Stegostoma tigrinum: one gene and its partners. The protein of the gene in region 1 purifies or fractionates together with the protein of each later gene. This does not show direct contact. Links are inferred from orthologs where the notes say so. Each region holds a gene or a part of one and is shown in the gene's direction. Other genes may lie near its edges. The genes, in order: CTD small phosphatase-like protein 2, pdik1l and stk35.

Region 1 (7,527 bases):
GCAGGGTGCAGAGGGTGGTGGTCGAGGGTTGATTTTTCAGATTAGAGGCCTGTGACCAGCAGTGTGCCACAAGGCACAGTGCTGGATCTATTGCTTTTTGTAATTTATATGATAAATTTGGATGTGAGTATGGAAGGTATGGTTAGTGAGTTTGCAGATGACACAAAGATTTGTGATATACAGGACAGTGAAGATGATTATCTCAGAATACAACAGGACCTTGATCAGATGGGAAAATGGGCTGAGGAGTGGCAATGTAGTTTAATTTAGATAAATGTGAACTTTGCATTTAGGTTAGGCAATCCCAGGGGAGGACTTAATGGTAGTTAATAGTAGGGCCCTGGTCAGTGTTGCTGAACAAAAAGACCTAGGAGTACAGGTACATAGTTCCTTGAAAGTGGAGTTGCAGGTAAACAGGGTGCTGAAGGAGGTGTTTGGCATACTTGCCTTCATTGGTCAGAATATTGAGTGTAAGAGTTGTGGCTGTATAGGACATTGGTGAGGTCACTTTTTGAATACTATGTACAGCTGCCCTTTTATAGGAATGAAGTTGTTTAACTTGAGAGTGTGTGGAAAAAATTTACAAGGATGTCGCCAGGACTGGGGGTTTTGAGTTATAGAGACACGCTGGAGAGGCTGAATAGGTTGAGGTTTTTTTCCCCTGGAGTGTCAGAGGCTGAGGGGTGACCTTATGGAGATTTATAAAATCATGAGGGGCATGGATAGGGTGAATAGCTGAAGTCTTTTTCCTCGAGTGGGGGAGTCGAAAACTAGAGATCATAGGTTTAAGGTGAGAGGGGAAAGATTTAAAAGGACCTGAGGGGCCATGATTTTCATGCAGTGGGTGGTGAGTGTACATAATAAGCTGCCAGAAGAAGTGGCCGAGGTGGGAACAATTACAATGTTTAAAAGGCATCTGGATGAGAATATGAATAGGAAGGATTTAGGGGGAAATGGGCTAAATGCTGGCAAATAGGATTCGGTCAGATTGGGATGTGTGTTTGGCACAGAGGAGTTGGACCAAAGGATCTGTTTCCATGTTGTATGACTTTATGACTGACCAGTGACCTCCCATTGGAACTGGAAACCTTTATAGCTACAACTGGTTTTGACCAAGATAAAAACCAAACGAACTGTGGATGCTGTAAATCAAGAATAAAAACAAAGTTGCTGAAAAAGCTCAGCAGGTCTGGCAGCATCTGTGAAGGAAAAAAGCATTTCGGGTCCAGTGACCCTTACTCAGAACTAATGGTGGCTGGGAAAACCTATCATTTACTCCCTACCTGACCCACTTCCCTGTTTTCTGCACATAAACTGATGTTTTCCCAGCCACCATCAGTTCTGCGGAAAGGTCGCCAGACCCAAAGCATTAACTCTGTTTTTTCCTTCACAGATGCTGCCAGACCTGCTGAGAGCTTTTCCAGCATCTTTGTTTTGTTCCTGGTTTTAACCAAGAGCAAAATCAGGGCAATAGTGTGAGAGGAAAGGCAGAAGTAAAAGGGAGGAAAGTCTTTCATTTCAGTAGTGTCCTTCATAACCTCAAAGTGCCCAAACATTTTACTTATTAAGTGTAGCCACTGGCTGCCCTTTTATAGGCAGCAAACTCCCATTGCAGCACTGTATTGCTGATTTGAGGGATAAATAATTGCCAAGATGTTCAGAATAATTCCCTTGCTATTCTGCAGAATAGTATAATCAAAATCTTTATATCCACCTGAGAGGACAGACGACCTTACTTTAAACATCTCATTCAAAAAAATAGCACCTTCAGCAGTGCAGCCTCCTTCAAAACACAGAAGTATCAGCCTAAGGCTCTGTGCTAAGACAATGGAGTGGGGCTTGAACCCATAACTTCCTATTTTAGGAGTGTGCTGTCAATTGGGCAGCTTTTGAAACTTGAGGAATAAGGACGTGTGTAGCAGTGTGTACCATATATGTGCTGTAGCAACTTATTAATCTTCCCCGACAGCATCTTCCAAACCTGTGTTGCTTTACCGCCCAGAAGAACAAGGAGAACAAAAGCATGAGAACACATGTAGCCCTCCAGTCTAACCATTATCCTATCTTGCAGCTGTATCAATAGTCCTTCACTGTCAGTGGGTCAAAATCATGGAGCTTCCTTTCCAACAGAACTGAGAGTGCACCTGAATCTTAGGAACTTAATAAGTCAAGAATGTAGTTCACTACCACTTTCTCGAGGCAGTTTGGATGGGTAATAATTGCTGGTCTTTCCAGTGGTACTCAACATTCTAAAAACAAATTTAACAAGTAGATGTGATGATTTTATTGTACTCCTGAAGAGGTTGTTTGACATGATGCCATTATAGTGCCACCCTCTGATAGCTCACTCAGTGGGTAATCTTCACGTGCTGCTTACCTTTAATACTTTATTTTTCCACTTAATACTAGGACGGACTGTAATGTTAACTTTATTTCTTTATTTTTCTGCTTATACTAAGACTAATGATAAGGCTTTACTTTTAACTTTGTCTTTCAATGTTACTACTTGTAGCTAGGTACCTTTGTACCTAAGTTGATGCCGTGTGTGGCGGCATTGTACATTTTTCACTCCTTTTGTATCCCTATACTTGAGTAGACAAGACAGTAAATCTTAAATTGAAACCAGCTAATGGCACACCAACTAAATATTGATGCATAGTAACTGGATTGGACTGAATTTTCACCCTTTTAGCCTTGCCTGTTAAGCTTGGATGCTTTGACTGTTACTGCTGGAATAACCTAACTGTATACAGTGTCTGAATAGAATCTAGATCATTGTATCAGTCAGAGCACTACTTACTTGCTGACTAATGGGGCAGTCTGACTAGATAAAATTGTTCCAAAGATTTACTTAAGTGGTGGCCATTCATCAACCAACCTATATTGAATCTGGAAGAAATGGCAGGTGTATGTTTTACTGATGACATCAGGTGCAAATACTGTGATATATTCATGTTGATAATGCAGTTACAAAGCAGTTTTAAAACAAGGATGTTTATAAAAGAATAAGATTTACCTATAAAGCGCGTAGATTATTTGTCATTGTTAGAGTGTTAGGTGCATGTTGTGATCTTGTTTTTGTTGTGTATTCACATGCCTTCAGGTTGTGAAACACTGTCAGAAAAGCTACTGAGGCCATTAAAGTACAAATTTCTGCAAAGTGCTCTTTCCTGCTGGATGGCAGTTAATTTGCTTTAAGGTTACTTTAAGCTACTTTGGATTTGAGAAAATCTTTGAAGAACTGGTGACTTGTGCCTGACTTTTAAAGATACTACTCTCTACTCTCTTTTTTTACGTTCATCCCTGGAATTGTAACCTTCCATTTCTGGTGTGTCTGTCTGCACTTCTTATTACCGAAATGTTTATATTGTGATGGAACTGAAAAGTGAAGAAGCGTTGGAGGAATTATTGGAATCTGTTTTAAAATCTTGCGAGTTATGGCATGGAAGTAAATCTTTATTCTAACCAAACTGAGATGAGAGTACTGATTTTTAATATTATATTTTAATATAACATTGGCATCAATCCAGTAGAAAAACTGCAGTTTCTAAAGCGCATTGTAACGTTTTGAACAAATTTTATTTAAGCCGTGTGCACTGCAAAAGTATAAACTGCAAATTTAATATTTATATGGCCTTCAGCTGTCACTTAAGCAATATTGCCTGAAGATGTTTCAATCAAACCACTTTATAATATTTAAATATTCAGTATTAGTGGGACTCTGCCAAAAGTTTTCCCTTTTTAATATTTCACTGTTTGCTTGTGTACAAACTGAAGGCTGATGGACAGGTACAAAACCAATTTTTTAAAGGTCTAATATTGGCTTTTATCTCAAAGAGGCTCTAATAAAAAGTGGTGGAAATTCCTTTACAATTATGTAAAGCCATGGCTGGACCTCAGATCCAAGATTTAGTGATAATAAGGGAAAATCAGGATGCATTGTGGCTAGGAAGGTGATTTGGGTGTGATGCTGTTTCTGTGCACCTGTATCTTTTGTCCTTGTAGGTGGTAGAGATTGTGATTTTCAGAGGTAGATTACACGTGCTGCCATGGTGTACCAGTAGTCGAGGGAATATATATTGGAAGAATTGCAATTAGTTTTATACTCTAGCACGTATGCAAATGTTCACAAGTTGCCTGTGAATATACATTTTAAAAATCTGTGCAAACCATCGTTCTTCTCTTAAGATTTTCTATCCATTCTTCTCATATCTTGAAGGAACTGACTTAATTGTTGATTATTCCATTTATGTAGGCAATGAATAATACCTTTTTTGATAGTGTGTGTAATCACAGCCATAATTGATCTTGTTGTCCTCTGAGATCCAGTTCTTTTTTTAACTGCTTTCACAGGAGCTGGGCCAGCACTTGTTGCCCATCCCTAGTTGCTCTTGAGAAACTGTCGATGAGCTGCCTTCTTGAACTGCTGCAGTCCATTTGGAGTATAGGTAGACGCTCAATGGCATTAGGGCAGATGTTCAACGATTCTGACCCAGCGACGGTGAAGGAATCGCGATTATAGTCCCAAGTCTATATGGTGAGCCATGAGCATTGTGTAACAATCAGCTTTGATATATTTTTCTGTAAAATGGAACTGTTGAGGTTATTGTCATTTTTAATTATAACCCAAGAAGCAACAGAAAATGAATTTGACAAATGTGTCCTGTAATTGCCAAACTCTATGATGATCAGGTTTTTAAAAAAAATAACCTATTTTATGATATGAAATCATAACATACCTGTCTGAGATATTTCCCAACCACAGTGACTACTGTAGAACTCCACTTATTCATAAGAATAATACACAAAATACATTCAAAAACAAGGCAAGTTTGAGCAGAGCTTTTTTGTCATATCTAATGAAAGGACCTTTACAAGAAGCATTAACCTGTCTATTTCCAATTGCTGATGGGCTTGCATGTTTCCAGCTGTTTGTATTTTTAATTACTATTTTGATCATTCCATTTGTTTTTTGTCTTTATGCAAATATATAACCTGGTACTTCATTTAAATCCCAACAGTTATCTTGGTGGCTAGTTGTTCAGAATATTTCTGTATCAGTTAAACTCTACGAGGCATTTTTATTTTTAATTTTTATAGAACATAGAACATTACAGCACAGTACAGGCCCTTCGGCCCTCGATGTTGTGCCGACCTGTCATACCGATCTCAAGCCCATCTAACCTACACTATTCCACGTACGTCCATATGCTTATCCAATGACGACTTAAATGTACCTAAAGTTAGCGAATCTACTACTGTTGCAGGCAAAGCGTTCCATTCCCTTACTACTCTGAGTAAAGAAACTACCTCTGACATCAGTCCTATATCTTTTACCCCTCAATTTAAAGCTATGCCCCCTCGTGCTCCCCGTCACCATCCTAGGAAAAAGGCTCTCCCTATCCGCCCTATCTAACCCTCTGATTATTTTATATGCTTCAATTAAGTCACCTCTCAATCTCCTCCTCTCTAATGAAAACAGCCTCAAGTCCCTCAGCCTTTCCTTGTAAGACCTTCCCTCCATACCAGGCAACATCCTAGTAAATCACCTCTGCACCCTTTCCAAAGCTTCCACGTCCTCCTTATAATGCGGTGACCAGAATTGTACACAATACTCCAAGTGCGGCCGCACCAGAGTTTTGTACAGCGTCACCATAACCTCTTGGTTCCGGAACTCAATCCCTCTATTAATAAAAGCTAAAACACTGTATGCCTTCTTAACAGCCCTGTCAACTGGGTGGCAACTTTCAAGGATCTATGTACAAAGACACCGAGATCTCTCTGCTCATCTACACTACTAAGAATCTTACCACTAGCCCTGTACTTTGCATTCCGGTTACTCCTACCAAAGTGCATCACCTCACACTTGTCTGCATTAAACTCCATTTGCCACCTCTCAGCCCAGCTCTGCAGCTTATCTATGTCTCTCTGCAACCGACAGCATCCTCCGTCACTATCCACAACTCCACCGACCTTAGTGTCGTCTGCAAATTTACTAACCCATCCTTCTACGCCCTCATCCAGGTCATTTATAAAAATGACAAACAACAGTGGACCCAACACCGACCCTTGCGGTACACCACTAGTAACTGTCTCCAGGATGAACATTTCCCATCAACTACCACCCTCTGTCTTCTTTCAGCAAGCCAATTTCCGATCCAAACTGCTATATCTTCCACAATCCCATTCCTCCGCATTTTGTATAATAGCCTATTGTGGGGAACCTTATCGAACGCCTTGCTGAAATCAATAATTTCCTTACTTATTCTCAGTCTGAAAAATCAGAGTATATTTTGAGACACAGTACATCAGTATACTTTTTAAAGATGAGCTTGTGATATCATCACTGTATCATAGAATATGATCTAATTGTATAAACACTGCATACTCCACCTTAAGTGGATCACTTGAAGTATGAATTGCTACTAGAAGTATGATGCTCAGCTATAACGTTAGTGTAACACTTATCTGTAACTCTTACGTGTTTGTGATTCAATAATTATACATGAAACCAGTTGAAATAAGCATCTATTGGATCCTTCAAGAGTACACTTCCTTGAGGTTGTACTGGATCTTGGATTTGGATTTCTGCTGCTTTGGACAGTGGATGTTCAGGCCAATTCAGATTGGGTCACTTGGAACATAATAAACTAGTGAGCAAGCAAACTAACGAATACATTTATGCATCATCCAGATAAGTCAATTTCAACTGAGTAACAAAAAAAAAATGCCATGCACGTTCAAAAATACCCAGTTTCTGGACAATTCTGGTTTGTAGACTGCCAATTTTGAGAATAACGACTTGTAATTATTTAAATATAATTGTCTTTGTCAATGAATTGATCAAAGTTGGGAAATGAGAATGTCCCAGATTTACAACTTGAGTGAAAACAGCACATGAATAATTTATTACTTCTGTTTAGATCTACAGAATGGCTGTAAATTGGGAGAGGAGAGTGTGCAATAGGACCTGAATGTTCTTGTGCACCAGTCAGGTAAGCATGCAGGTGCAACAGGCAGTAAAGCAGGCAAATGGTATGTTTGCCTTCATAGCGAGAGGTTGAGTGTAGGAGCAGGGAAGTGTTGTTGCAGTTATACAGGGCCTTGGCAAGACCACACTTAGAATGTTGTGTGCAGTTTTGGTCTCCTTTTCTGAGGAAGTCACTCTTGCTCTCAAGGGACTACAGTGAAGGTTACCAGGCTGATTCCGGGGATGGTGGGACTGACAAGAGGGGAGATTGACTAGATTAGGATTATTTTCGCTGGAATTCAGATGAGCGAGTTTGGGGGGGTGGTGTGGGAGAAGAGATGTCATAGACACTTTTAAAATCTTAATGGGACTGGACAGGGTAGATGCAGGGAGCCTGTTCCTGATGGACGTGTCCAGCACAAGGGTCACAGTCTGAGGATTTGGGATGGACAGAGAATGGAGATGAGGAGATACTTGTTCACCCAAAAGAGTGATGAGCCTGTAGAATTCATTACCACAGGAAGTAGTTGAATGTATTCAAGAGGCAGCCAGATATA
Region 2 (8,083 bases), on another chromosome or scaffold:
GTCTCATTATAAAATAAGAATTTATAACTGAAGCAATGTGGTTCTAGAAAAATCAAAGCCTGAATCTTGAGTCAAGATCTAAGCTGCCAATGGGAAAAATGTAATGACACTCTCTGTAGGATACTGTAAAATTATAATGTTCATTTACGCAACCCCAAACAAGTGAGTGTACCTCCAACAACTGTAAGGTTTTTCTCTCACACCATTTTTGGTGGGTGTAACATATTTTCTGTTTTTGTTTTAATTAATGAGAATCTCTCACTGCGCTGAAAGTTAATTACTCAAGCTTCCTAGTAAACACAGGCAATAACTGAAAAGTTAAGGTTATTACGCATTGATAAGAAACAGGAAGAGTAGATATAGCAGTGATATTGTCGACTCAACGTGGTGTTGTTAGTTTGTACATATAAATTTATGTTTCATAAAATGCCATGGCCTTACTAAAATACATACTTCACATTCTCTACATGGATGAAGCAAGGGGTTTGTTTTAATGACCTGAATCAGATGAAGTAATGTTGCTCAGTGAGTAGGATATTCATGTAGAGGGTGTGATGCACTGTTCAGAGTACTGCCTTTCAAATGAGATGACACACCTAGGGTGTGCATTTGCCTCTTTAGGTTGAGGGAAGCAATTTCATGCATTATTCTGAAACTTGAGATCAATTGTTGTTAGTTTCTTGTTCTAAATTCCTCAAGTAACATCATGCCAACATTAGAAAAAAGTCCTGAATTTACCAAGCACCTTTCATCAGGATTGGATGTCCCAAAACTCTTCGCAGCCAATCAGATAGGTTTGTCATGCGTACTCAAGTATAGGAACACAGAACAGCAAAAAGTGTACAAAAGTGGTGCTAACTTGGTTACAAAACCAAAATTAAAACAAAACAGATAAAATAAAAAAAAGGCTAAGACAACATCCAGATCTTAAAGCCTAAAGTCTTATCTCTATAAAGGCCAATTCTGCATTGTAGGAAAAAGAGCAGTCAATCTGCGTACAATGAGCTCTTACAAATATCAATACAATGATGATCAAATGATCTGATTTTTAGATATTGATAAATGAGATTATCCGTCATGATTACATTATTTCTCATAGGATCTTGCTGCGCACAAAATGGATTCTGTAGTTCCTATTCAAGTAATATTTCATTAACTTTAAAGTACCTTTGAACAGTCTTTATGAAAGGTGAAATATAAATGCAAGGCATTTAGTCCTTAATGTGTAGCTTAATGTCTGTTAAATTGCATCTGTATTTAACTCGTTGTTTAAAGGCATAAGGTATTTTCCCTTCCCAAGAAAAGCATGTCTTCACGTTACTTAGAAATGGATGTGAAGATCTCTTTAAATAAATTTTAAGTCTGACTTAAAGATTTGCATGTGAAATGTTACAACAGTTTTATCAAAGAAATGTGATTTGAATCAGGTTACTTTACAGGATGTGGCATTTCTTTTAGATTATGATGACTTGTCAACAATAAAAATGAAAAGTGTAGATATTAAAATATTTTCTGTAGATATTAAAATATTTTCTGGGATTTTATAAGGCAAATTTGTTGATGGAACTTGTTACTTTGACACATGCTGTGCAACATGAATCATTAAATTGGGTTATTCTACCTTACAGTAACACATTAGAACATTTGAAATTACTTCATTGCAGACAAATTATTATTATTTTTGTTAAATACTTCGGGACTTCTTAAAATTCAGCGTAATACTGGTATATAACACATATACCAAAGTTTTATAATACTAGCATCAGCCCAAATTTTATGAAAAAATCGTGAATGGCATTTTCCACATAAAATATGTCTGGAAAGTGATCACCAGAGTGATGTATTTTCTGAGAATTTTGCTACATTAAAGGCACTCTACCACTCTTTCTTACTATTGTCTGCAAATTCTTTCCCACTTATCCATTCCAGCCCCAACTGGTTGTTGGAGGTGAGTTAATTTGACTCCAGGATATCTCTGCAGAAATTCCTCAGGATATTGTCCTAGGCCCAACCATCTTTAGCTGCCTTATCAATCACTTTCCTCTATCATAAGTTCAGAAGCAGGGATGTTCACTGGTGATTGCACAATATTTAGCTCTTTTAGTGACTTCTCAAAGAATTATGATACCCATGTCAACAAGCAGCAAGATAATATAATATCCAGATTTGGGCTTACATTGGCAAGTAACAATCGCACTTTACAAGTGCCATCTCAAACAAGAATGAATCTAACCTTCACCCCAAATGCTCCCAAACCCCATTGCAATGGGAGAAATTTTTCTATATCTACTTTGTCTAGAATTCTCAAAATATTTTCTGTGTTCCTGTTCCTGTGCTTCCCTTAAAATTATATCTGTTAGTTTCTGTTGACGTTTCTCTTTCTTCTTACTGAAATATATTATGTTCCATTCCACTGCATTAAATGTTATCTGCTTCATGCTTGGCCCTTCCTTCAGCTAATGTGTTCTTGATATCTATTACTATCCTCAAATTTTCCAAATATTGTGTCATCTACACATCTCAAAAATGCATTCTTGCAAAAAGTCTTGGTCATCATGTGTAAGAAAAACAGTAATTTCAGAACTGACCCCTAAGGACCTCCAACTTTGTCTCTAGTTTCTACCATCCTCCAGCCTGACAATAACCATTCACCACTGCCTTGTTTCCTATCACTCAGTCACTTGCACTTACCTTAAAACTTTTCCACTATTCTATTTATATGTCAGATTTCAATTTCAGACTCAGATGGTAAATAGCAAGGAGGAATGTCTTAGACTACAGGATGATATAGATGAGCTGGTTAAGTGGCAAAAAGAACGTAATCCAGAAAAGTGAGATGCCACAATTTAGAAGAACTGACAAGTACATGATGAGTGGTAGGTGACTGGGAAATATAGAAGATCAGATGGGCCTTTGTGTGCATATCTATAGATCCTTGGACGCAGCTGGACGTTGGTCAAGAGGCATATGGAATATGTGCTTTCATTAGTTGAGGCATTGAATACAAGGACTTAGGAGGTTATGATGGAGCTGTATGTAGTGTTAAGGCCATACTTGGAGTACTGTGCACAGTTATGGTTGCCACAGAATAAGAAGGATGTGATTGCACTTGACATGGTGCAGAGCAATGTTCCCTCTAAGTTATGTTGCTCATGCATGCACGTGCACATGCATGGCAACTCCGAATTGCCAAACATGGCAATCAGTGCTTTTGGCGGTAGTTGTCATGTGCACAGACCTCCAAGGAAAAAATATTAGAGGGAACGCTGGTTTGGAAGAGATTCACCAAGATGTTGCTTGAGTTGTAACAATTCATCAATGAAGGCAGGCTATTCAGCTAGGTTTGCTTTTCCTTAGAGCAGAAAAGGCGGAGGGATGATCTGATGGAAGTGTTCAAAATTATGAGGGTTATTGATAGGGAGAAACCTTTTTCTTTAATAGACAAGCCAGTAACCAGGTATGGTAAGGACCAGGGGGTTTAGATGGGATTTCAGGAAACAATTCTTCAACGGGGGTGGTGGGTATTCAGATCTCACTGCTTGAAAGAGTGGTGGAGGCAGGATCCATGAAGACATTTAAGTAGAATTTGGATGCAAACTTGAAACATGATCTACAAGGCAATGGTGGAAGTGCTGGAAAAATGAAATTCGAACAGATGGATGCTTAGACACAATGGTCGGCACAACATCGTGGGCTGAAGGGCCTGTTCTGTGCTGTACTGTTCTATGTTCTTAATGGGCTGAAGGGCATTTTTCAGTGATATAAAATAAAAGCAGAACTGATTGTGAAGAAGGGTCATTGGCCCTGAAATGTTAACTTTAATTTCTGGTTTCATAGATGCTGCCAAACCTTCGTTTGTTTATGATTTCCAGCATCCGCAGTTCTTTGTTTATTTTGGTCAAAGCTCTATTTCTCTGTTGACTCTAGTTTTAACAATACTTGTTATTACTATTAATGAAATGATGCAACCCCTCAATTTACCTTGGGATTTTTTTAAAATTTGCTTTGTTTTTTTTCATTAAAAAGTTAAACAGCTTACTTTCGCAGTGGGAACTGAGGAAACTTCTTCACAGAGTGAATGGTTGAGGCAGGTACAATAGGAACATTTACAAAACATGTGGCTAGGTGCATGGATTTTGACTTGATAGAAGTGTACAAAATGATCAGAGATAAAATAGACAGCCAGAGACTTTTTCCTAGGGTGGAGGTAGCTGTTATGAGGGGGCATAGTTTTAATGTGAGTGGAGGTAGATATTGGGGAGACGCCAGAGGTAGGCGCTTCATTCAGAGCAGTCGGGGTGTGGAATGCATTGCTGGAGAGGGTAATGGAGTTGGCCTTGTTAAGAGCATTTAAATGGCTATTAGATAGGCATGTGGATGATAGCATAAGTTGGGATAGAGGTTAGATAGACCTTTTAGGATTAGGGTAGTAGTTCAGGACAACATCATGGGCCAAAGGGCCAGTACTATGCTGTGCAGTTTTATGGATGGGAAAGGTTTAGAGGGATATGGACCAAATGCGGGCAATTCGAACTATCTGGACAGGCACTATGGTCAGCATGGACCAAGTACAGCCGAAGACCCTGTTATCATGCTGTAGTGCTCTATGACTGTATAACGAAACTAAGTCATCCGCACTGCATCCTCAAGTTGCACCAGATTTGAAAATTTGTCTTCGCGCAAATGCGGGAGAGGAGGGGCGGGGCTTCTTGGGGAGGCGGGAACGTCAATCACAGGGTCGGTGCAGTGCGGAGCTTGTACAGCTCACCACCCCCTACCAGAGTCACAAATCACATCTGCGGGGAATGCAATGAGTGACTGAACCTGCCTAATAACAGTAAAAGCGGGTGGGCGGAGCCTAGGACACGAGGGTCGAATCAGGCGAAGGTGCCCTGGCCATGTGGGCAGGGACGTTCCGGAGGGGCGCCTGGCGGCAGTGTGACTGACAAGAGGGTGGATGATGAGGCTTCCGATTGGATCAAAGGTTGGAGGGGGCGGGGCGCGGCATGGGGCGGGAGCACGTGCGTGAGTGGCAGTTATTTGAAGCCGGAGCTCGCGCATTGGCGGCTGGCGTGAGCGAGCGGGAACGCGGGAGTGAGACCACAGAAGCAATGGCCGAGAGCAGAGCGGGAGAGCAGCGAGCACCAACCGACTGAGGTAGAAAGTAAAATAAAAGACACACGTGTCCATTTACCGAGCTGTGACACCCACGAATGAATGAATGAATGAATGAACGAATGAATATTAATAACCGGCGAGCGTTGTAACGGCAGACAGACAGCATGAGCTGCCTGCTGCTCCGCAATCTCCCTCCTTTCACAGGCCGCTCGTTCCCTGATGTGAATCCCTGGCGGTGGGGGAGGAGGTATTGAACTCTCGGTGCGGCTTGCAAGCGCTCTTCCTCTGTTACTGATGCACAGTTACTCAAAACTGCAATCCCTGATTAAGGCCCAAGTGGATTCGAGGTAGTTGGTGAGCCTCTGCCTGCATTTCTATCCGCAGGCGCATTACAGGAACGGCTCCATTGAAGGAAAAGCAGGCTGGGGAGGAGGTCCAGGCCAGGCCATACTTTTCTCCATGTATGTTATTGCTCCCTACATAATACCTTGCACTTCATCCTCCATTGAACCCCCACCACACCTCCCGCAGTTTTCTTGAGCGATTAGAAATAAGCAGATTTCCTAAGTGCTGTTACACCTTAAATTTGTGCCAACTCGTGATGCCTCAAATGACTTTACCGTGAATAAGGAACTTCTGAAATTAAGTAATTGTCTAACATGGTAACCAGGTCCCGTGTACTACAGTGAAATGAATGACCATAGAGAGATGAGGGGGGCATTGCATTTGACAACTTTCCTCTTTTGGCTAGCACTAGAGGATTGTCCGCTAGCAGATGGATGTGCTGTGTTTATGTTAATTTGAATTGGCATTTCTGACAGTGTTGCACTCTGTTGATGCCATCTTAGATTGTTTGCTCCACTATCTGGAGTGGTATTGTGAATCCTGAACTTTTCTGTTGAGATGAGAGGTCTACCAGTTGCAGTGCAGGAACCCCTCCTTTACAGTTGTCAACTGGGCTTTTGCTGCCATGTAACAACTGTAACCACTAATTGTTGTCTCTACTGTTTTTTAATATTTGTTCACTGATGGACATGTCACTAACATAACCAATATTGCTCATGTGAAAAGGTGTTAAGTTGCTGTAGATCTTATTGTCTTGGTACACTGATAGAGCTTTTAGCAAATGAGTTCTAGGCTGTTAATTGAGAGGTAATAAAGGAAAGGAAAGGAAATATTGTTCTAAATTGGGATTGTGTGACTTGGAAATAAATTGAGGATGTGATGTTCCAATAGTCTGACCCTTTTTCTGTGTGTGGAACTTTGGTTGTAAGCTACTTTTGAAGAAGGAGCTTGGGTGAGTTGAACTACTTTTGTAGATGGTCCATCTGCAGGTAAAGGAGGGAGTAAGGAGGTTGCTCTATCTACTATATTGGATTGACCTCCCATCTTGTTTGGATGAGTGCCATTTAAATAAGTGCAGCGTGACATTCTGTTACACGACTGATGTTGTGACTTTTTAAGCTGTGGTAGCCTTGGGAAGTTGGGAGGTCAGTCATTCACTGCTGAATTCCCATCTGAGCTGCACTTGTAGCCAGCATTCCCACCATTTTTCTTCAGAATTGGAAGTCAGTGCTGCGAATGACATTGCCATGCCAATTGTGTGCAATTCTGCAAGCTCACAGCTTAGCTTGCTTGTAGCCACAATATTTACGTGGCTGATCCAATTCAACTTTCAATCACTACTAACCCTCTAGAAGCAGTGGGAATTCTGATGGGAATGCTGTTGATTGTCAAGAGGACAAACAGACGTGCCAGAGAATTGCTGGAGGCCTGGCAATCCAACCAGAACTCCCTCAACAAACACGTTGAACTGGACCTGAGAAACAAACCATGGGAAAAACAGAACCGTCAGTGGTGCCAACCACCACAGCAAACCGAGGTACGTAAAGAACAAGTGCGCAGAACACCAGCATTTCACCAGAGGTTCACTGAATGCTACCTAGCAGGGTGATGAAACGTGTGCATTCAGACACACCAGCTCAGCACGCAAGACTGCAATTACTTCCACAACCCAAGCAACAAATGTTCTCAAACGTTTTTGAAATTACCTGGTCAAATTAGGTTTTCAATGGACGATGCAGTCAACAGGGAAAAGACAGGAAGTTGTTGAGACAACAGCAGATCAGCCCTGACCTTATTGAATGTCAGAGTAAGCTTAAAGAACCAAATGGTTTATTCCTAATCTCTGTTCAATCAGTGAGCCTTTACATTTCTGAAATTTTACTGGAGGCAGTGTTGCAGTTGAAGATTGTCGGTCCTAACTTCAAATAGCTGTGAGTTGGAACTGAGGTGCTTGCGCTGTAATAACCACAAGCATAGCCTTTTGTACTTGGTATGACTCCAGCCAGCGAAGAGCTTTCTTTCGATTCAATATTGCTAGGATTCCTTAATGCCATTTGGTCACTCAGCATCAAATGCCATCTTGATGCTGAAGGAAATTACTGTTGTCTCACTTAATCTTTGGGAATTGGCTCTTGGATCCATATTTGCTCAAATTAAGTTTCACTCCTTTGTGGAAATCGCTGATTGTGGTTGTACATGGCTCCATGATACTTCCTCCAAGGTCAACTTTTTTTTTTAATTGAACACCTTGGCAGACCTGAAGACATCTTCACAATTCCTTTAATGGTAAAGTTGCTGTAGTCCTACCAGGCCATAGGGCTGCTGTCCCACTAGAGAGCTATGACTAAACTGGAGGGTCACTATGCTCGTGAGGTTGAGAAGCTGTGCCCTTCATGGCAAACCTCAGCTGGTGTGGCAATTGACATCATGCTGTTGGCCTCCCTCTGCATCACAAAACAACTGTTCAACCAATTGAGCTAACTGACCACTTTTATTTACATGTTTTTCAACTCTTGTAATCATTTTAAACTGAGTTATTTTGAAAGATTTGAATTTAGTAGGGTGAGGTAATAATTTGGTACCTCAAATAAGCTAGAACTAAGAATGAACATGTTCGTTG
Region 3 (7,068 bases), on another chromosome or scaffold:
AGAAGAACCTCCTTTAGGAAGTAACATCTGAAACATTAAAAACATTAAAAACCTGTAGTTTTGTAGGTGACTGCTACAAATGGAAACCTGTAAGATCAATAACCTGAATTCATTACAGCCTAAATTATTAGACAGACATCATAAACTGACTCTGAAAATCAATCCCAATTGTTTTTTTAAACTGCATTTATAATAGAATATTGAATTATATCCATCTCTTACATGAAATATATAACATTCCATATTGACTATTACAGATTAGATAATACTGATTTATGGATATTTAATCACTAAAATAGTTTTTCAACAATGTGACACTTCTAAATCAATACAGCACTCACGGCAGTTTTTTGTAAATAAAGCTCAAACTTGTTTATATCATTTTAATTTGGTTCTTTCAGATTATTTATCAGTCAATGAAAAGAAGATAATTACTTTGTTGAATGGGGTGAGCATCATCAAATTAATATGACCATCTAATTTTGATCTGAATTTCAAATGTCTGCTTTGAAACTTCAGAATATAAATTCTGCATTTTGATATCTTTTGATTACTGACATTTGTATTTGTAACATTGGAATGCCAGAGTACTCAATGACTGTACTTAAGTCCATGGTAAGATACAGCTGTATAGGAAGCAGAACAAAGGAAAAGTCTTTAGCTACATTTGTATCGCCAATTTGTATGGATGTAGGATGGCTTCAGTTATGCCTTGATGCAACAGTGGTGGTTTAACTCTGCAATGATCAATCAGTGTCCATCTAGAAAATGTTTAAAATAAATGGTGTGAAACGCTACCCCGGAGGCAGAATGTGGGCTGTAATTCCAGTGCTGCATAAAGCTAGTGTTTAAAATGCCCAAGCAATCTATTTTATTTCTAGGGCAGTTTATCAGTTGACAGTTTTCCCATTTAATATTCTGATATAATAAATATTCTGAAAGTCTACATTTGACCCTTTTTGAGAAATTAGATTCTGGGGAGCAAGTAAGTACAAGATATGGCCTAAGAGCTATTATAGCCATTTGATTCAGAAAGCAAGTGAGGGATTTTTGAAATATTTTCTGTACCATTTTTTTTGAAAAAGATGTTGAATTGAACTTGACGCCAATACCAAAAAAAATTAAATACAGCAATACTAGTACTATACATCTAACTATCCATTCAATGCTTGTTTTAGAAAACTGTGATTAGATGGCATTTATCACTGCTCTTACCCTTTACTTATAAGAGGGCTCACTGCTCTTATTAACATAATTTCTTACAGTATGAACTGGAATCCAGCTAGGTATAGTTGTTACAAAGGATCTGCAAGCAAATGGCTGATTGAAAATTCTTTCAATGGCCATACTTAAATAATCTTAAATTGCAACTATATTATTTGAGACAGATCATGTTTTTACACTTACTCCTCCATGTGATATTTTCATCAGCGTATTTGTATTCTATCATGCAATATTTAAAATCCTGGCATTGTAATAATATCCTCTCCATCACCAAGACTACTGCATCCAACATATTGCCAATCTCCACCACTGCCTCAGCTTGGCTGCTGCTGAAATCCTCATCCATTCCATTGATATCTCTAGACTAATCTTTTCCAATGCTCTCCTAGCCAGCTTCTAACCTTGCACACTTTGTTAACTGGAGCCCATCTACAGCTCTGCTGCCATTATGCATCTGGTTGCTGATCTAAACTAGTGTCTGGTCCAGAAATGTCTTGATTTTAACATTTTCATCCTTGTTCTCAAATATCCTTTGTTGACTGTCTTCTCCCCTCCTTATCTATATTATGCCATCCAGTTAGAAAATCCTGCAGATGTTCCCCTGACTTTGTCAAATTCTTTTCAAAGCATGTCTAAGGGTCTTGGGCCATTTCAGGCACATTAAAAGTGTTAGATAAATTCACATTACCAATACATTTATGAATTTTAAGTACAATATTATTGATGAACAGCAATAACTTTTCAAAATTACTTTCACAAAAATAAATGCAGAGTTCAGTTCCTGCTACTCTATCAGTTCTTGACTGTGACAATGTCCCTTCCTTAGATTGATATTGCACCAGTGGGCATGCAGTATGTTCTGTAAATTCCATCTGTTACTCATTGCAGTTATGTTTTTCAGTGATCTTTCCAATAACCTTTTTCCTCTGTAATGTTGGATATGCTTTAAAGTTCCAAAGGAGATGAAGGAGGAAATTTGTGAGGCTATGCCTAGAGTTATGAATGTGTCATTAAAAAAAACTGGTAACTGGAACGGTTCCTAAACATTAGAAAAATTGTAACACGCAATAATAGGACCGGTATTTAAGAAAAGCCTTTTGACTCTTTAAACCACTTCCTGTTCTTGAATTCTCTTCCTTGCATCTCATTAGATCTTAGATAACATCCTTTTGCTGCAGTATAACCAGTTTACTGTATGGTGTAACTTGATATTCTTGGATTTCCTCCTCTGGACATATCTGCAGTAGAGTAAGATGTTCACTCAATCTCATTGTAACTTTGACATATTTTTCAGGATAAATGTTGCTTTTGTCATGCAGTGCATGCTTGTGGTGAGATTCCCAAAGGATGGGATGACAACAGATATTCCAACACTACAACAAAGATAAATTAAGTGATAACTACGGCAAAACTGTGAATGCTGCTAGCTCCTGAAGATATCTGTCACTTACTTGGAAGAGACAAAGAGGAATGGACATAGTCTCTGCTGTGACATACATAAGTTAAAGTAGCAAACATGGCTGCTTAGCTCTCTAGGCTGGGACGGAAGCATCTACTATGCCCACTCCCATGATGCGAGGCTAGCACCATCAACACCCTGGGACATCCACCAGATAGTTCAAAGATGGTTGGGTAAAGGTAAAATGGGTCAGTTTCCACAATATGCAACAACTCAGAGATACTCATGGACCTCTGGAATCTTCCTCCCATCCCCTTCCTTATGACTCCACCCCCAACAGTCCCCATTAACAACTATCCACCCTCCTAGCCAGATTGTTATTAACTCCTTTGTCTATCCAACTGCTCTTTGCTCTCTTTGGGTTCTATCCCCACCTATCGTCTACTCCTTACCCCTTGCTCCTCTCTGTCTTCTGCAAATGAACTGACATTTTCTTAGCTACGATCAGTTCTGAAAAAGGGTAACCGGACCTGAAATGTTAACCTTGATTTTTCTTCATAGATGTGGCCAGACCTGCTGGCCACAAACAGCGACCTCTGTTTCTGTTCCAGTTTCCAGGCTGCGTCTCAGTGTTTTGCATCTGCATGTCACAAGCAGGGAAGGATGTCTGGGGATGATCTGAACAGGATGGGAGGGAGGAAAAATCGAGACCAAAACTAGTCTGTACCCTTTCTATGACTACCAGTCATTAATTGGGTCAAAACAGTGGGGTAAATGATGCGTCTATGGTATTATTCATAGTAATACCGCAGACACATCATTTACCCCACTGTTTTGATCCAATTAATGAATATATGGTCAATTTACTAGCTTTCAAACGACATTCAGCAGAAACTGGAAATATTGAGGACAAAATCTATAACATCCCTTCAATTTCATCTGTAACAAATTGCATTACTTGGTATACAGTTTCTTGAGACTGCACTAAGGTGAATAGCCCGTATAAGACTTCGTATGACAGAGCAGCCTGGACACACTGCAGCCTGCAGAGACTGCATTACACGGTACGTTGTCTGCACGAACTGCTGTACATTAATTAAGCGCACCGCCTGCACAGATTGCGTAATACATAACAGAGGCCTGAGCAGACTGCGATGCATAATGAAAAGTACAGCCTGCACAGGCATTGCATGGCATGACAGGGCTGCCTGTACAGACTGAGGTACATTGCAAAGACCGCGCAGACACTGCATGGCAATGACAAGCCAACTCCGTGAACCACAGTGCGGTAGATCGAGTAGACACGCAACTACGCGACAGGAAAGAGGCATGAAGGCAGCTCGGGACGTGCGCATGCGCTCGGCAAGGGCACGTGAGCACGGGGCCGGCCGTGGACTGGCCGAAAGGAAGCGTTGGGGGGAGAAGGCCCCAAACTCCCAGCAATGAATGAGTGCGCGAGCCGGCGGAGGCCCGCTACAACCAGGCGGCTCAGTTTGTCCGGCTCGGTGAGCGGCTGTGTGCTCTGATCCCGAGGAGGGCGGAAGGCTGGATGTTACCCTGGTGGAGGAGGAGAGGCCGGCAGTGAGTGAGTGCCGGGTCCTGTTCCTCTTCCCTTCTCTTTACCCCCAACCCCCCCCCTCTCCCGGGAGTGGGGCCGGGAGCTGCGGCTGCGCTGGAGCTGGAGCTCGAGCCGAGTGAAGCGGGGGCCCCGAGGCCGAGGCGGAGGCCCTGGGGGCAGAGACAGAGAGCCAGGCCCCGGCCTCTGTCGCTCAGTGATGTGGAGTGCGAGAGCCTCCCCTCAGCCAGCTGCCCACCATGGAAACTCACGACCTGCCGAGAGAAGGCACCGACTGTGAGGAGCGCCCGGCGCTGAGCGGCGGCACCACCACCACCAGTACGAACAGCCCGAGGCTCCCGGGCCTGCTGTGGGAGCCCAAGTACAGCCTGGTGCAGGAGGTGGGCCGCGGCAGTTACGGCGTGGTGTACGAGGCGGTGGTGAGGAAGAGCGGCGCCCGGGTGGCCATCAAGAAGATCCGCTGCGACGCCCCGGAGAACGTGGAGCTGGCCCTGTCCGAGTTCTGGGCTCTGACCAGCCTCAAACGGCAGCATGAGAATGTGATCCAGTTCGAGGAGTGTGTGCTGCAACGGAATGGCATGGCCCAGAAGATGAGCCACGGCAACAAGCGCTCCGAGTTCTACCTGCGCCTGGTCGAGACCTCGCTGAAGGGTGAGCGGATCCTGGGCGCCGGCGAGCCCTGCTACCTCTGGTTCGTCATGGAGTTCTGCAACGGCGGTGACCTGAACCAGTACGTGCTGTCCCGGAGGCCCGACTCGGCCGTCAACACCAGCTTCATGCTGCAGCTGACCAGCGCCATCGCCTTCCTGCATAAGAACCACATCGTCCACCGCGACCTGAAACCCGACAACATCCTCATCTCCGAGAAGTCGGGAGTCCCCATTCTCAAAGTGGCCGATTTCGGCCTCAGCAAAGTTTGTGTGGTGGGCGGAGGAGCAGCCACTAACAAAAACGTGAATGTGAACAAGTGCTGGTTGTCCTCCGCCTGTGGCTCTGACTTTTACATGGCTCCAGAGGTCTGGGAAGGACACTATACGGCCAAGGCTGACATTTTCGCTCTGGGGATCATCATATGGGCCATGATTGAACGAATAACATTTATTGATGCTGAGACTAAGAAAGAACTGCTTGGGACCTATGTTAGACAGGGCAGTGAGATTGTACCTGTAGGGGAGGCATTGCTAGAAAACCCAAAGATGGAACTACATATCCCGCAGAAAAGGAGGACTTTTATGTCTGAAGGGATCAAACAGCTTATTAAAGACATGTTGGCTGCTAATCCACAGGATCGTCCCGACGCATTTGAGTTAGAAACTAGGATGGACCAGGTCACTTGTGCTGCATAAATTATCTATTATAAAGGGGATACTCTTGTAAAAGGTATACAGACAGTAAGCAAAATATTGATATTGTGGATTCTTGGTCATATGTAATTCTATATACCACACTTGCCTTATTTAGTGTATATAGCTTCTCCTTGATTGTAAAGCATACAGTGTCAGAACGTACATGTTTTGAAAGTGTGGTCTTTTTCAAACGCTTTAACTCTGGCCCCATTTTGATTTTAATTTGCCCAATTTAAGGACATTTTTTAATTATCAAGAAAACAACCTAACATTTGCTTTGTTCGTCGGAAGAGGAAGGTGGGCATTTTTCTTAGAAAGCAACCAAACTCTGGGATGATTCTCTTGCAGCACAAACAATAGTTGATGTGTAGAAGAACCCAAAAAAGCCAGTGTACCCATTAAGTGTACTGTGTTCTTTATGTCTGGTTGGGTACTGAGAAATAATGCTAGAAAATCAAGAAGTCAAGGCAGGAGCAAATCAAATTGGTGTTAGAAATATGCTGCAATTCTCTTGGCAGTGACTCACTCAAGCCGTTCCCCACTTGCACTTCAATTAGGTCCTAGTCTTTCTCAAATACCCTAGGGTTTGGAATGTGCTAAACTATTACTTCCAATCACATTATTTGCAAATAGATGCCAGACTAGTAATGTCACTTAGACCATAATGAACATTTTACCAGCAAACAATTAAAGTTTATACATGTTATTCTGAGATTGGTGCATTGTGAATCAAATGTTCAATTAAGAGTAGAATTGAAAATATTGGATATCACTTGGCTGGTCAGGTAGTGACTGGGGAAAAGGTGACTTTTAATATTGACACAGTTCCTCAGTTGTTATGGATGATTGTTTTGCATGTAACTACTGGTCTGTAAGCTAATATAGGACGTAGTGGTTTTGATTCCTTTTGTTTTCAAACATAATGCTAATAGACGTCTTGAGAAGTTTGTGCATTGCTTTCTCACTTGGTATCAAGAAAAGCTGCTTAAATCCCCGCCACTGATGCAGTGTTCCATATTATTATCAATAAATAACAACGTATTTTAGAACTCCCTGCTCTAATTAGATACTGTCAAATTGATAACTATGCAACCTTTCTTCTGCATTTAAATTATTCTCATAATTTGGAATAGCAAATAGTTTTTCCCTGTCCTGGCTAAATGTCTTAATATTTGTGTTCTGTTGTGTTTCTGTTGCTGTTCTTAACTACTTCAGACCCACGAACTTTCCGACAAAGTAGACACAGCATTTTAATTGTTTTACGAAGATGTTTTAAGAATGTGACCCACAGTTGAAATGGAGGATTTTTTCAGGGGCATTGTGCTAAATGATAGCTTCATGCATTAGAACAATAAGCTCAGTTTTCCTCAGAACTTTGGAGTATTGTTTAGCCTGTTTCTGTTTTGGTGTATTTGAGAACTTGTGTACATTCTCTATTTAACTCAATTTTAATTTGAGGGTGGGGTGAGATTAAAAGGTGGCCGAAGCAGAATAACACAGCAAATATTGCCAATATTGAATGC

What was found.
Region 2: the proteins of CTD small phosphatase-like protein 2 (region 1) and pdik1l purify together in Homo sapiens (affinity purification with mass spectrometry; 4 studies listed by BioGRID and IntAct, counting the BioPlex papers as one, with this or other methods). This does not show direct contact. The link is inferred for Stegostoma tigrinum from reciprocal best matches to the Homo sapiens genes CTDSPL2 and PDIK1L.
Region 3: the proteins of CTD small phosphatase-like protein 2 (region 1) and stk35 purify together in Homo sapiens (affinity purification with mass spectrometry; 3 studies listed by BioGRID and IntAct, counting the BioPlex papers as one, with this or other methods). This does not show direct contact. The link is inferred for Stegostoma tigrinum from reciprocal best matches to the Homo sapiens genes CTDSPL2 and STK35.

What each region holds. Positions count from the first base shown.
Region 1 is NC_081386.1:33,606,665-33,614,191, reverse strand, and holds the start of CTD small phosphatase-like protein 2, read left to right. Parts: upstream 1-4,459; 5' UTR 4,460-4,537; intron 4,538-7,527. UniProt on the Homo sapiens protein: Probable phosphatase.
Region 2 is NC_081377.1:29,406,943-29,415,025, reverse strand, and holds the start of pdik1l (serine/threonine-protein kinase pdik1l), read left to right. Parts: upstream 1-5,050; 5' UTR 5,051-5,157; exon of another isoform or gene 5,158-5,164; intron 5,165-5,186; exon of another isoform or gene 5,187-5,579; intron 5,580-8,083.
Region 3 is NC_081372.1:35,991,887-35,998,954, forward strand, and holds the start of stk35 (serine/threonine-protein kinase 35), read left to right. Parts: upstream 1-3,978; 5' UTR 3,979-4,438; coding exon 4,439-5,545; 3' UTR 5,546-5,579; intron 5,580-7,068.